Drosophila melanogaster: one gene and its partner. The protein of the gene in region 1 interacts with the protein of each later gene in a pairwise test. Each region holds a gene or a part of one and is shown on either strand. Other genes may lie near its edges.

What was found. Proteins that work in one complex are often made in the same cells at the same time.
Region 2: the proteins of MtnB (region 1) and CG13192 interact in a two-hybrid assay, tested with the Drosophila melanogaster proteins (one study listed by BioGRID).

Annotation. Positions count from the first base shown.
Region 1 is NT_033777.3:20,499,855-20,506,728, reverse strand, and holds MtnB (metallothionein B), read left to right. Parts: upstream 1-3,110; 5' UTR 3,111-3,198; coding exon 3,199-3,223; intron 3,224-3,284; coding exon 3,285-3,391; 3' UTR 3,392-3,627; downstream 3,628-6,874. Other genes in the region: Or92a (odorant receptor 92a), read right to left, coding at 543-755, 822-1,020, 1,120-1,934; CG46441 (uncharacterized protein), read left to right, coding at 4,786-4,843, 4,897-5,090, 5,146-5,184; Dic2 (dicarboxylate carrier 2), read left to right, coding at 5,417-5,844, 6,162-6,648. UniProt on the Drosophila melanogaster protein: This protein binds cations of several transition elements. Thought to be involved in metal ion homeostasis.
Region 2 is NT_033778.4:11,821,746-11,829,747, reverse strand, and holds CG13192 (uncharacterized protein), read right to left. Parts: upstream 4,404-8,002; 5' UTR 4,333-4,403; coding exon 4,195-4,332; intron 3,848-4,194; coding exon 3,334-3,847; intron 3,271-3,333; coding exon 2,951-3,270; 3' UTR 2,651-2,950; downstream 1-2,650. Other genes in the region: Sobp (sine oculis-binding protein), read left to right, coding at 641-2,388.

The DNA of each region.
Region 1 (6,874 bases):
TGGGTGCGGTGACGGGACTTAAGGTCTTCAAGGTGAAGCAGGGATTGATGGTCTTTTGCGGATTGACCTTTAAATTCCATATATTACAAGTATTACAAGTCGTTTTTTATGACTGATCCGCAAAGTATGCAAAGTATTCTGTCGCGGGAACGTTAATGTTCTTTTCATGGGGACTTTATGTCACAGCCTTAAAGCATGTATTAATTAATAACTTTTACCCTCTATAACATCTGTAAAGTGTTAACAGAACAGATCTTTTTTATGACAATTTAAGATTTGTTTTATTAATTTTATGAATTTTTATATATTTTTCACATTAAATAACTTGATTTGTTGTGGTTTTTTTTAGGATAGAATACTGTTTTTTCTTAAAGATCACAAGTTGTTATCTTGTTATATAACATTATGTGTACTTATGTATTTGTATTTTGCAAACGAATTCAGTATCTTATTTTGCAAATATGTATTTTTCGTATTCGATGGATTGCTATCAATATTCCGATGTACCTATGCACATACATATATATGTATCTAATCTTCCCTTAACCATAATATGTGGTGCGGAGCAGTGCAAAAAACTGATACGACATGCTGATTACCTTCATAAAGGTATTAAAAGATATGGGTGGAAAGGTAGGCGGTCTTATAGAGGCGGGCTTCTGGCTGCGCGCGATAATAAATTGCAGGATGCGTTTGTATTTGGTGCTGCATGGCAACCAGTTCTGATTAAATGCCGAATGGCCAATCCGAGAGCTCTGAAATGTACATTTCTTGTTAATACTAGACCGAAAACAAGAAAAATTAATAAAAATTAAACTCACTGAAGATATCATTTCATCGCCGTAGTAACAGACCACAAAGACTTGAACCAGCGAAGCTGAAAAAAATATGAAGTACAACACTATGTCCTCCACATTTGAGGCTGTAATCTGAAAGCCAGCGAAGCAAATCACGAGCGATGCGGCAATAAAGTTCCACAGGATCAGGAAGCTGAATATGTTGTTGACCTCCTCGCTGAGGCTGAAAAGTGTATTATAAGAAAAACATGTAGTAGTTTAGTTCTTATCCTTAATTTGGATGAATTGAGAGATATATATAATATATAACCGTCAAACTTACTCCAGCGCCCTGGCATGATAGACGACCAAGTTGTGCAGGTATTTGATATTTTCTTCATCCGTATGATCACCTCCTTCGTAGGCCTCCAAATCATTCGCTATAAAGTTGAAGTGCATGGTCAGCTGGGTTATGGTCGCGATCAGCAGGAGATCCACGCAGACGTAGGAAACTCCGGCCACATAGGCACAATGAGCCAATCCCCAGTAGGAAAACCAGTAGACCGTCAGATCCGTTTCTGCGTCGTAGGGAAACAAAATGTGAAATCCGTAGTTGCGCTCAAAGATTTCCGATCCCATAAGGTAATACTTTATGGTCGACTTGATGGCTGGATAAAAGCTAAATGACGAGGTGTAGGTCATGCAGAGGATGGTGAATAGGGTCATGACCCTGTTCATGTGTTTCCGGTAAAACGATACGTTATACTTCCGCTGCGCTTCTAAATCTAAAGGAAATATCTCCTTGAGATCATCCAGCAATCTGACCAATCGCTTTCTATTCACTGTGAGACCGAACTGCTTAAAGTCGGCCATGAAGCTGAAGCCAATGCACGGTGCCACTGCAGTGGCCTCCAAAAGAGTAGTCGTCGACATTATATGGACTATAAAGTACGCGATTTCGCCCACCACATAGGCATTGAAGTTGAGAAAACCGAGTACCAGATAAAAACGTAGCAGGTAACGCCTTATCACATTCGGATCCCTATCGGAGTACAGATCCTCGCCGATGGTCTTGTAGAAAGTCATCGGAAACCGGGTAAGTTCGTCGAAGGTGATGACTTCATCGTCACTTTTTGGCTTACGTTTGCGGAACAGCATGATTCAGCTGTTTGATCGGCTGACAGAATAAGTCTTAGGTTTATATAGCTCCCATCAAAAGTGTCCCATTAAATTCGCATGAGACACCCTTCGCTGACCTCATAATTACTTAATTTAATTTGGGGTAACGGAACACCTGCCACTTGACTTTCTAAAATATTGAGTTCTACAGGAATGTTCCCAGGACTACACGGAGAAAAATCGAAGGACACTTTGGGGACGAGAGGATATTCATGCAATTTGTGGTAAGGAACTGAAGTCATACTCTAACTGAACGGTGCTGGCTGGTCAAGTTATATATGTTTATGTGATGTTAAATATAAACCTTGTGGTCAACACAAGCACAAGAATCAATTATATATTCATTATACTCGTTAAAGATATTTTTTTTTTAAGGTAAGGTAAATAAAATGGTAAAAAAGTAAAGGTAAAAAAACTAGCCGAGTTAGAGACTGCAGGAAACTTATCTAAGTCGTTCTTTTGTTGCAGGTACACCTAGCAAAAAAAAAAACAACTAAGTCAGGCCTATTTCTATATTTGTTCTCGAAAACTTTTTTTTTACTAAAAGTCATAAATATATATAAAGTTGTTCCGGGTGTTTGGTTTTCCGTGCAACGAACTGTTTTCGTAGCTCCCGCAGAGCTTATAGTTTTTGCCTAATTTGCAGCGCGTTTTTTCCTCTATTAATTTTTAGTTAGCTTTCCACATGTGATATTTTTATGGCATTTACGCTGGGTTTTTTTTGAAAAGAGTTTAGTCGTAAAGCGTTTTTGCAGCCAATATGAGCATTTAAATTTGTTTTACTACAGGAAAGTCTTTTATTTATTGTGAAAAACCCCGCTGGGTAGCTGCCTGCGCTTTTCATGCTTTTTATTGTGTGCTTCTGGGCTGTGGGCTGAGTCACGATACGCGGCGTATACGCAACGTATACGCAACGTGGGCAGCTGATAAGCTGATGAGGAGTTCGTGTGCACCGAGTTGGCGAGCAATCGCGTGCGCAAAAAGAATTGCCTGGCCTATCGTCTGATAAATTGCGAACCACTCGCCCCAGACTTGCACACGACGTGATAAGTTGGGTCAAACAAACAAATTTGTTTTGGATTTGTGCAATTTTGCACTCGTTCGAGTTCGAGGCAATCGAAGTGGGTATAAAAGTGGGGGAGTTGCCGGACTGGGTCATCAGTTGAATAGCCAAGCAACAAGCAAACAAGTGAATATCAGTTCGCCTCAGCCAAGTGAAAGTCGAGAAATAGATACATACAAGATGGTTTGCAAGGGTTGTGGAACAAGTAAGTGGTACAACGCAGCAGCAAGCTGTATAATTGACAATCGTTCTCGATTCCTCGACAGACTGCCAGTGCTCGGCCCAAAAGTGCGGGGACAACTGCGCCTGCAACAAGGATTGCCAGTGCGTTTGCAAGAATGGGCCCAAGGACCAGTGCTGCAGCAACAAATAAGCGGGCCAACTATATAACTAACTGTTTAACTTCTAAACTGGAGCTTAACTCCCAACGAGTTGGCCGCAATAAATAAAGTTTATAAAGATTTTGAGCATTTAAAAGTTTCTGCCGTTAACTTTTTGTTACTGGGCGGTCGGTCATCTTACCAAGCGATAATTATATTTTCGGCTTTTGGCAGCTAAAACCAATTATGGTAAAATAATAAACGTGAGCTGGCATTCAGTTAAGCAAACCGCAAAATAGAATTACATGAAAAATAAGCAAACGCAATGCGACAATTTGGGCGGGATTTGCAAATATTTGTATGTTCGCGGACAGCTGCACCGGAATTAAAATCCAATCCATCAGCCGTGATTTTGGTAGAAAACTCACCGAAAGTCCATTGAATTGTGCGCAAAACGGAACATAAATCGAAATAACATTCAATTTTCGTGGCCATCGAACTGAAACCAAATTATTTAGCCGCTTTTATCTGCGACTGAACTTTGCCCATATGCCAATGGCCGAAATTGCAACCCACTTTGTTTTGAATATAAAATGTATTTCGCTTTTGAGGCAATTTCTCAAAAATGTTGTGCCGATTTTATTGCATTTTCAAAAAATACATATATATTCTGCTCTACTAGCAGCAAATTCCTCCAGCGTTATGTTGGGTTTAATAGTCTGCCAATGGAATAGATACGTTTTGTATCGGCCAAATAATAACTTTCTGGCCAAGTTTTATTTATTTAATAGCCTGCTACTGCTACCCATTTCACACACTTTTGTTTAAAGAGCGGTCGAGCTTTCCATTCGAGTGGCTAGGCCTGAGTTTCCAACTGTCAAAACCAAATGACCAATTAAAATACAGGCACTTGTGGACAATTTCAAGCGTCCGTTTCCGGTGCTTGAGCTGTCAAAATATTTATGAAACAACAGTGGTTCAGATCCATTAGCATAATCAGAGGTGCGTGATTGAGGCGTTTCCCAAAGACCTTTGTTGCGTGCTCAGGTCGTTTTGTTTTCTTCCATTTTGCTTTGCTCCCTGCCCGGATGTAAAGTAGCAGTCTTTTGGCAAATCAGGTGTAAATAATGTGACAGGGAAACGCTCTTGTAATGACTACCTAGGACCTATACTCCACACAAAAATTCCAACAAAGAGTATGTTAATTACCATTTTTAAAATTAGCAATGAAAGTTTTCACAATAATAATAAAATATATTTATATATAAATGAATATGAATATAAAAAGTATTTGTGTATGATTTCCATGACAACTGCTATGATGAAAAGCGGTTTGTATTATTATTAATAATAACAAGTTATTACCCTTGCATTTGGTGTCAAAGTTGAACTTCATTAAGTTTCATATATAGAAAATACAATTACGAACGGGACAAGGAGTTTTAAAATGGAGCTCGGAATCTTGGAAAATGGGCAAGACGAATCGATCAGCTTAGTTGAGACAGGTGAGGTGGCAGACCCACAAATAATACGTTTTGTTTTAGTATAATGATTTCAGGTAATAAGGATAAGCCTAAAGGAGCTGCTTGGATAATAATTATGGTGATACTACTAAATGCATGCTTGATTGCTCTGGCTTTTCCATTATATCTGTATCTGAATTCTGTAGACGAAGTGGTCAAAAAACGCTTGATGGATTATTGCATTGTTGGTGGAGGCCTTATAGGAATTCCGATGTTGTACAGATTAGGAGTGAGTGAAATAAAACGTAAATAATGCAATTATGATGCTAATTATGATAATGTAGGATCTATCGAAGGGACGACCAAATTTCTACTACATTTAAATAATTCATTTGGTTACCATGATGCACTATGATTTGAAAGTAAATTCTAAATTTTTGTGTCTTAATATTTAAAGTCACCAATCATGCTTTCCTTGCCTTTAAACTCGTCAGTCGTTAGATCAACCCCGCACTTTCATTTACATATACATTATACTCACATTTAACAAACAACACACAAGTAGATCCGTAGTAATAAATTAAGGGTAAGAAGTTAGCAAATAGAAAACACAAAATGTCGCTCAGAAGGGGTGGATTGATGTCCTACAACCAGCGGCGTATTGCCCGCTGGTACTTTGGAGGTCTGGCGAGCTCCATGGCTGCCATGGTGACTCATCCGATTGACTTGATCAAGGTGCTTATCCAAACTCAGGCGGAGAAGCTATCGGTATTCCAGACCACCCGCAAGATTGTCAAGGAACAGGGACCTCTGGCCATGTACAATGGCATCTCGGCCTCAATGCTGCGCCAATACACGTACACATTGGCCCGTTTTGGCATTTATTCGGTGGGCTCTGGAGCTATGGACACCAGCACCATGGCCGGCAAAACATGTCTAGCCGCGATTGCCGGTGGAATTGGCGGGTTTGTGGGCGCTCCTGCAGATCTGATCAACGTCCGCCTGCAGAACGATGTCAAGTTGCCACCAGAGAAGAGGCGCAAGTAAGATTTAAAAATATTTATATCGTGATGGAAGTGTTTCCGACCATTTAAAGTATTCTTGAGCAAGTCTTGTCCGATTGTCCTTCCGTTTGTCCGTATAAACTTAAACTTTTAATTTCTTATTTTATTTTATTATTTTTTGTCCAATTTCCATCGATGTGCTAAAAAACAATCGAGGAACTTGACTATAGTGTTCGCTCTTGTTTTATATATATTTATAGCCCAAAGACATATTTCAAAATCACTTAAAACGCGCTTTAAAGTTATTGAAATGGATGTACGTTATTTTACGAGTTCGATTAATTTTTTTTTTGCAGCTATAAGCACGCCATAGACGGACTGGTGCGAATCACCCGCGAAGAGGGATGGAAAAATCTCTTCAATGGCTCCTCGATGATCGCGCTCCGTGGAGCTTTTATGACCGTAGGCCAGATTGCGTTCTACGAGCAAAGCAAGTCCCAAATGATAAAATTGGGAATGCCCGATTATATGGGCACCTACATCTTAGCATCAATGATCTCCTCCGTGGTGGCCACCACCTTGACGCAGCCCATCGATGTGGTGAAGACACGTCGCATGAATGCAGCACCTGGCGAGTATTCTGGATTGGGGGATGTGTTTGTAAAGACTTCGAAGGAGGGACCTCTGGCTTTCTTCAAGGGATACGTTCCCTCTTTGAGTCGATTATTGCCGCACACGGTATTATTATTCTTGGGCCTCGAGTATCTGAGGACTCACTTTGGATATCTACCAGAGCCAAAACAGACAGGTGCATTTTATCGATATGATGATGTCGATGACTAAACGATTTGCGTTATTTTCAAAATTTCTAGCTTTGCTATTACGTGACCATTCATTACATCGCATGTCTGAAAATAAAATACACATATAATAAGCACGGCTTTAGTTCATTTGTATGTGATAAAAGAAGGTAAAATACTTGAAAGATTTCTTGAAATGTATTTTTAAATCTCACAAATTGCCGAAACCTTTCACATTTGCGCCTATTGAAAACCAATCAGTTTGTCAT
Region 2 (8,002 bases), on another chromosome or scaffold:
CCCACCCGGGCATAGCCAAAAATTGACAGCAAAAGTCAAAATCACAAATTTCGTAATCGACCCAAGGACGCTCCCTTAGCCACGACGCGCTCATCATCCATCCGCCTGTGCGTTTTGTTTTTTTTTGTTTTTTTTTGTGAAGGGAACTCGATAACTTCGCCTGCTGTGCTCCGGACCGTTGCAGTCCCTCTCAATCCCCGCCTGCATTTGGAGCTCAGACAGGCTCGAAACTGTGCTAACTTTTCATCAACTCAGTCCGGAGTTTGCCGATGCTGCGTTATCGAATAACAGATTCATTAAGACCCAAATATGGTTTACACATTTTTGGCTAGCGTCGAGCAGGAAGAAGCGGGCCATATTAGGAATAGGATACTTGGAGCTCAGTTTGTACGGATGCTTGCGGAAATCAAATTTGCAGTTCGGCAGGAATCGATTTCCTTTTTAATAGAACATTTTTGCCTCCCAAATGTGCTTTGTTTGATTCGATTCATTACTTCTTCCAGCTAGCCCTAGGAATTTTCGAATAAAGAAAATATTTCGGAATAAATTATAATTTTAAATAATATCTTAAGAGATTTCCTTATACTTTTCTTTAAGTTCTTTAGACTTATAAAGTTATTTATTTTTGTATCTTCAACAGACTTCAGCAATTGCTGCTGGTGCCATCGACCGATTGCGGAGAATGCGCCGGACTACCTGACCAGCTGCGACGGACCGCGCTACTGCTCCGAATCCTGCTTCGCCCAGAGCCGGAGGGCATCCTTCAAGAAGGCCAAGACCTGCGACTGGTGCAAGCATGTGCGCCACGCGGTTAGCTACGTGGACTTTCAGGACGGCGCCTCCCAGCTACAGTTCTGCTCGGAGAAGTGCCTCAACCAGTACAAGATGCAGATCTTCTGCCACGAAACCCAGGCGCACCTGGACATGCATCCGCACCTGCGGGATCAGGCCATGGATGCGGGCAGCGAGGCTGGGCTGATAACGCCGGATCTGTGGCTTCGAAACTGCAGGAGTCGCTCGGCCTCGCCCGCCTCCACGCTCTCGGTGTCTCCGGGTCCGCCGCCTGCTCCGGCTGTCAGTCGCTGTCCGGACTCACCGCCTAGTCATCATCCCAGCAAACCTTTGATCTCAGTGGCACCCGTCTCGAAGTTGCTGGCCCAGAAGAGTCCGGGTCCCGGACCCGGAGCCCCTCCACCACCGCCACCGCCTGTCCAGCGGCATTTGGCGGGAAAGTTGGGTCGCCGCAAGCGCCGAGGTATTTCCTCTTCCTTGGGCTCGGAAACTGTGGCCAGTCTGCTGCAGAAACAGCAGCAGCAACAGGCACCGCAGCAACATCAGGCACCTCCCACGCTAACGGCTGACTTTGGTGGATCCAGCGTACCACTGCCTCCGCTCTCGCCCATGCCCAGCATGCAGGAGGCACCACAACAGCAGCAGGCTCCTCAGGTGCCACCAACACAAGCCCTGCCACGGGGACCAACAGCCATCCCGGCCAGCTACTTCGCGACGCCTTCGAATGGTGTGCCCATGGGACATCCGTTTGCGGGGCGCCCACCGCCGCCTCCGCATCACTTTATGCATCCACCTCCGCATGGCATGATGCCTCGTGGATTTGGTCCGCACTTCGGGCCACCGCTTCCGCCTCAAATGCCCGAGCTAGGGTCTCTGTTGGGGGCTGTGCCGCCGGTGACCGTGATGGTGCCCTATCCCATCATCATTCCCCTGCCCATACCCATACCCGTTCCTCTGCCTGTGATAGATTTTTACAAGGCACACCTAACTCCCGAGGAGAGGAAGCGTTTCGATGAGCAGCGGGCTGCTCCAACCAGAGCGGAAAACGCAGAAGAACAGGAGCAACCACAGCCGCTGGACTGCAGCAAAAGCAGAAGTGAGCTGGAGGAGGAGAAACCAGATGTGGAGAAACTAAGTGAGCCTGGCCAGGAGCTGGACAACGATCAGGAAGAGGATGAAAAGGAATCCATACCAAAGACAAATCCAGATGGGGACACCAACGCGGCTTCGCCATCAATTTCACAGGAATCATCGTCTTCACCACAACAGACGCACTGCATCGTCAGGGATTCTACGCAGTCCGAACCCGAGGCGGACAACCAGAAGCTGCCCAAGCTGAAGATCACACGGCTGCAGACCAAGCGAACACTGATTCAAACCAAAGAGGCGGCGGCCGAGTGTAGTCGACCGCTGCGCAAGCGCAAAAGGATCATCGACTGCGATTTCCAAAAAATGGGTCTTAAGGAACCGGAAATGGCCAACGATGGCGAACAGAGCAACGGCAGTAGCAACAAGGAGGCGGATGCGGATCCGGAAGCAGAGTGCAATATGAGCGGCAGCCACAGCAACAGTGGTAGTGCTAAAGCTAAAAAGTAGACATAGACCTTAGGATTTACCCCTTAAAAGTAGTAGAATGTATTTATCTATGTATGTGTGAGTGTGTCAGTGTGTTTGTGTAAGCGGAAACGGAAATGGAGTCCAGAGGAGGAGAGGAATGCAGCAAAAGGCACAAAGTGCATGCGGTACTCAGTTTTGATTCTTAATAAACTAAAATATAACTTATTGGATAAAATGTGTTTAATTATTTAGTGGATGTAGTCCTGACTAATGCACTTAAGCAATGAAAAGTATCCTAGATGCTAAATATTCTTTATATATATTTTTTTATATACTTTAATAAGATACACTTCAAAAAATATTCTTTTTCAAGGGTGGTCAAAGTTCATCTAAGTAACAAATAGCTGCATTGCCAAGCCCTTTAATTGGCTTCAAAAATATTCTAAACAAATTCACAAAAAATAACTGAACCGAAGCAATTATCAAAAGGTTATTACAAAATACATATAAAGTAAAGCTATTTCAAGAGGATCGCTAAGCCGTTGCAGTCAGGGTAATCAGTGTCTGTTCCTCATTGTAACACTTAAGACTAAGTCATAGTTCAGTTGTAGAGGTCCCACAATGATATCTGGCCATCCATGCCCGCTGCTGCCATGATGGGAGCATGCCACATGGCCACCTGTTGGCTGGAGAAGGCCAAGTCCATTACGCCGCCATTCTTGTGCTGCGTAAGCACGGCCAGCGGTCGCAGGCTTTTCCACGAGAAGATCCGAATACGACCATCCCAGCCGGCACTGGCGAACACCTTCTGATCGGGCCGAATGCGAACGCCATTCACTCCAGGATTCTTGATGCACAGCTCCGAGCCGAGCTGCATTTGCATCGATGAGCGCTGATAACTGAAACTAATCAACTTGTCGGCTGTAAGAAAAGAATAGAACTATTATATCACGATAATTTGTTTGGACTTAAGCTCCAACTTACTTGGACCACCCACAATGCCACGATTCGTAACTGGATCGTAGTCCACAGACGTAGCATCTTGGGCCAATTCCATCACATCCAAAATAACGCTCGAGCTGATGTCCCAGGTGAGGAAGTGTCCCGATTCGTAGCCAGCGAGCAGGAACAGTTGCGAGGCGCACTCGAAGGGCTTGAAGCAGGTGACGCTACCCAGTTTGGGCAGTTGGGGATCATCTGGGACCAGTATTTGCGTGGGGGCCGCTGCATCCGTAACGTGAAGCACTCCGATGGACGATTCCTCGCAGGGATAGAAGAGCAGCTGCTCGTTGGTCTTGCTGGTGTTCGTGTGCAAGGCAGATCGGCAAAAGCCCAGGTGATTGCCTGGAATACTGCGCTCTTTAACGTAGCTACTGCCGCCGATGGAGAACATGGTGATAGTGCCGCCCTTCTCCTGGGTCACCAGGCGATCAGGGGTGTGGTGCAGACTGGTTATGGGGTCGGATCCCACCTCAAAGTGCAGAGCGGAGCGGTTGGTCTAAGAAACAAGTTGTTGGTTAATAGGATATTGTTAATATAATTAATTAAGTACAAACAGAGAGAATACATTATTCACCTCTGGTGTTTAAAACTTGGCACCTAACAGCGTGATATTGCTATAAATATTACAAAAAAGTTGGATCAAAGATCGGACTATGGTTGCGGCTACATATACATATGTATATTTATATATGGATTTATGTGTGTATATGCAACGTGAAAGAAAATTTTAAAGAATTACATACTTTCGCTTAATATCTTAACTTGCAAACCGCTTTTATAGCATAATATCTAATGCCAGGTTGGCTTGTGAATTAACATAGATAACGTGATAAAGATTCTCACTTGCAAATCCCAGAGGAAAACGCTGCCTTTGATGGTTCCCGCCAGCAATCGGTCGCTCTCCTGGAAACACAGAGAGTTGACGGCTCCCATGTCGGGGGAGCGCAGGCTGAATACAGGATCTGGTGGTAGCACAGCCATATTTAGAACTGCTAAAATTAATTAACTAATTTGCGTTTGTTTTTGTTTGGTCTCGTGGTAGTGTGGCCGCTGTGGGAATATTTAAAAATATATCAGCACTGTTATCGATTTGTTATCGAGCGCGCTGCCTTACTCCCCACTGGTTGCGTGAATAGTGCGCCAGAGGGCGCCCTGGGCGCGCCAATCGGCAAATTCAAACGACTTTTTCGCCAGCAGCAACGCAAAACGCATGCCGAATATCTCACTTTTTCATTGAGTAGCAGTAGCCTCTGCGGAGAAAACAAGCTTAAAATTTTACAGCGAAAAATCATTAAGTCGCTAAATGCGCGGACTATTAAAAAACATAACGTGCACCGCAGGCTTACGCGGCTTTAATGGACTTTGTCAGCGGTCTCTCGCCTCTCATGTGGCCTAGACGCTAAGGCCCGAATCGTAAAAGACTTGTCAGCCAGATTGCGCGCATTTGGCCAGATTGCGAGCGAAGAAAACGGGCCCAAAAATATCTACACATGTGTATTTGGAGTCCGTTCTGTTCTGCCGGCCGGCCGACCGTCCGTCTGTCCGCAACAAAGATCGCAAAATAAACATGCCATAAGCTCGTTAATCAATGCTAAGTTGACAGTTTTAAGTGGTTTTAGCGAGCCAACACCAGCGCAAGCGGTCAATAATTCGGAGACTCCTGTTGTGCCGCAGGCTCATGGCTCACCATGATTTACGGTCCCAAAAAAATGCGCTATATTTTAATTGAGTGCAAGAATTTATTTGAAATTTTTTCAGTTACGATTGCGGCCCAAAATATGAATTTGAAAAGGATGTTTCTTAATACTTAAAGCTTGCTTAGATATTTTGTTAAATAATCAATTGCAAGGATTGTCAGGGATTCATTTTAATTGCTTGGCAGTGGAATAAAATTATGTTACATGTTGTTACATTGTTCTATTTAAATTGTATTACATTTAAACAAATAGGAATAAGTAAATTTTAGGCTATTTTTAAGCCAAACATAATTTCTGCTTGCCAAGATAACCGCTTATCTAACAAAGTCACAATTTCTCGATATTTTTCACATGTGCTCACTTTCCGTATTTAGATTGCACCTTTCCGCAGTTGACTAGACAACCAGACGCACTCCGTAATTCGATTTGGATGCAACAAGTTAACACGTTTTCCCCTACCCACCCAAAAAAGCCAACCCTTTTGGCCGCCATGCAGTCGTCTGGTGAACAGTTGAAAATGCGGCTATAAGTTCATTTAACTGCCGAAGCAATCATAAAAAGGGTTCAGGCCCGTATGACCATTCCAGCTCATTTGCTTTCGACTCGGTTAATTCTTTTTGTCTCCCACAGGATCAGGGAGGAGCTGGGGGGGCAGAGGTAGCTGCTGAACGACAAGTCCATAAATCTTTTCGCCACAGAACCGAAGGCACGAATCGGTGGAAGTGAGGCGTTTAAACTATTTATGCATGTTGGGTAATCCATTTGAAATGGGTCAACGACTACAACAACAATAACTATAACAACGGCAACGGGAACAACGAGCTCATAAAACTCCTTAAACGTTTCCAATAAGCCAAACCAACCCAACGCAACCCAACCCAGTTCGAAGTTGAAAACATATTGGCTTGTTACCTTAATGAAGTCATAAATTTTCGCTATCGCATTCGGGGCATCTCGGCCACATTGGGGCTGCGATGGCCCAAAGTCCCCGATTCTCCGAGCTACAGGTTTCTAAGGAATTCCATTTCGGGATAGAATACTCGTATACCAAGTGTTTTGGCACACATACGCGTCCGTTTGGCCGATAGTTAATCAGGCTTAGGCTGATATATGCTGACAGAGTCGGTCTCTGGTGTAGGCCGCCACTCTCGGAAAAGGATACGCATACGTGATCATCCCAGAGTAACCCAGAGTATCCCAAAGGGTATCGGTAACCATATACCCCGCTGCGCGAGTATTCCGCGTATTTGCGAGGCGGGCCATGGAAATGAAGTTATCACGCGACAAACAATGTCTGCTCCGGCCCCTGCCACCAATAACTTTATATGGTTGTCATTATTAGTCGGAAATTAAATGGCCCCGGCCACAGAGGACGACACTTGGATGACTACCCGACTTATTTATGTGCTACCTTAATGGAGCTTCATCTACTCGAAATGGAGACCTGGCGATTTGTTCTACTCCTCCTGCTCGATTGCCCCGGATCTGCGATCTGCATCCAACTGCTGCTCGTGTTGAGTTTTTACTTCGCTTTTACTTTGCCATGTCCATGAATCACTCGATGGGGAAAAAGGAAGCGAGGTCTAGGTGCTGGTATTTTGATTTGAAGATCGCCCTGTTCAGATCGCCGGGCAGGAGGAATTCCAGACTCAGAAGTAATTTGGATATGGTGATGGGTTCGGTAGAAAAATGAAGCTGATCTTTACAGACAAATTGGCCATGTAATGAAGGTTGCAACATCCGAACAGGATAATATGTTTTATTTATATACAAAAAAATGGTTCAAATTATCTCCTAACAGATACATCTTGTAACTACTTTTGCTTTCCTTTGTCTTCTCACCCGTTATCCCATAGAAAGTGATTGGTGCGACTGATACAATCTGTGTAGAAACCACCACAGATTCCCCGAAATAAGTTGGAAACTCCGGCCGAGTGCAATCAATTAAAATATCGACGTCTATCAGCGTGATTATAAATCAAACGATAACATAAAATTGACACTAAAGGCGTTTCGGCCATTTTTCATGCCGGCCTGGCCAACGTCGACGTCGAGATTAAGGCCTCGGATATACGTATGGGATCCGAGCTCGGTGGCCAAACATAGATGGAGTCACATTTTGGGCCACTTGAGCTCGCGTCTGAACTTTGCTTCGTATTTATGCAAATTATCCGTTGCCGGACGGGAAAAACTGGTCCACAAAACGGCAACGCAAGGCGAAGTGCTCTCTGTAATTGATCAATTTCCGCCGAGCAGCCAGACCGGATCGATTCGAATCGAATTGGTGCGGATCGGATCGGATCGCCCAGAGAAGTGAGAAGTTGGCAGACCCGCAGATTGACCAGATCCGATTGGATACGATAATGTGATGGCCACTTGATCTTCGGCTGATTTATGGAGCCCAACGAGGGCTTGGCTAATGAAATGCCACTTTAGATAGCATATTTTGTGCCCGTTTTGTCTTAAGCCCACCATGCCCATAAATACGGCAAGTTATGACACCTGGCGAAGGTGCACCCACATATCGCCGATGACATTGGACATTCCACTTGATTGCCTCCGACTCTCGGAGCGGCAATCAGACGCACTCAGCAAAAGTGCCAATCAAGCGCAGGACATGTCGACAAAGGATGCGCTCGTCTGCCCATAATCCTGGGTGTGAATGTCGAGGAGATAGGCACTGGGTGGAACAGTGGAATGGGGCACTGGAATGGGGCACTGCACACTGGACATGGAACTTTGGAGGGCCTGAAATCGAAACCTTGTCTCTGGGGTGTCAATAACATTGTCCGTGTGACTGCCTCCGGGCATGATTGTTGTCGTCGTTCTGGTCGTTGTTGCGGCCATTGATGATGTGGATGCGTTTTCAGCTCCATTGAACTGGCAGAAGCGGCACAGTGAACTTCACAATTTGGGTATCAAGTGTGCATACTCAATAAAAGTGTAAGGTTACC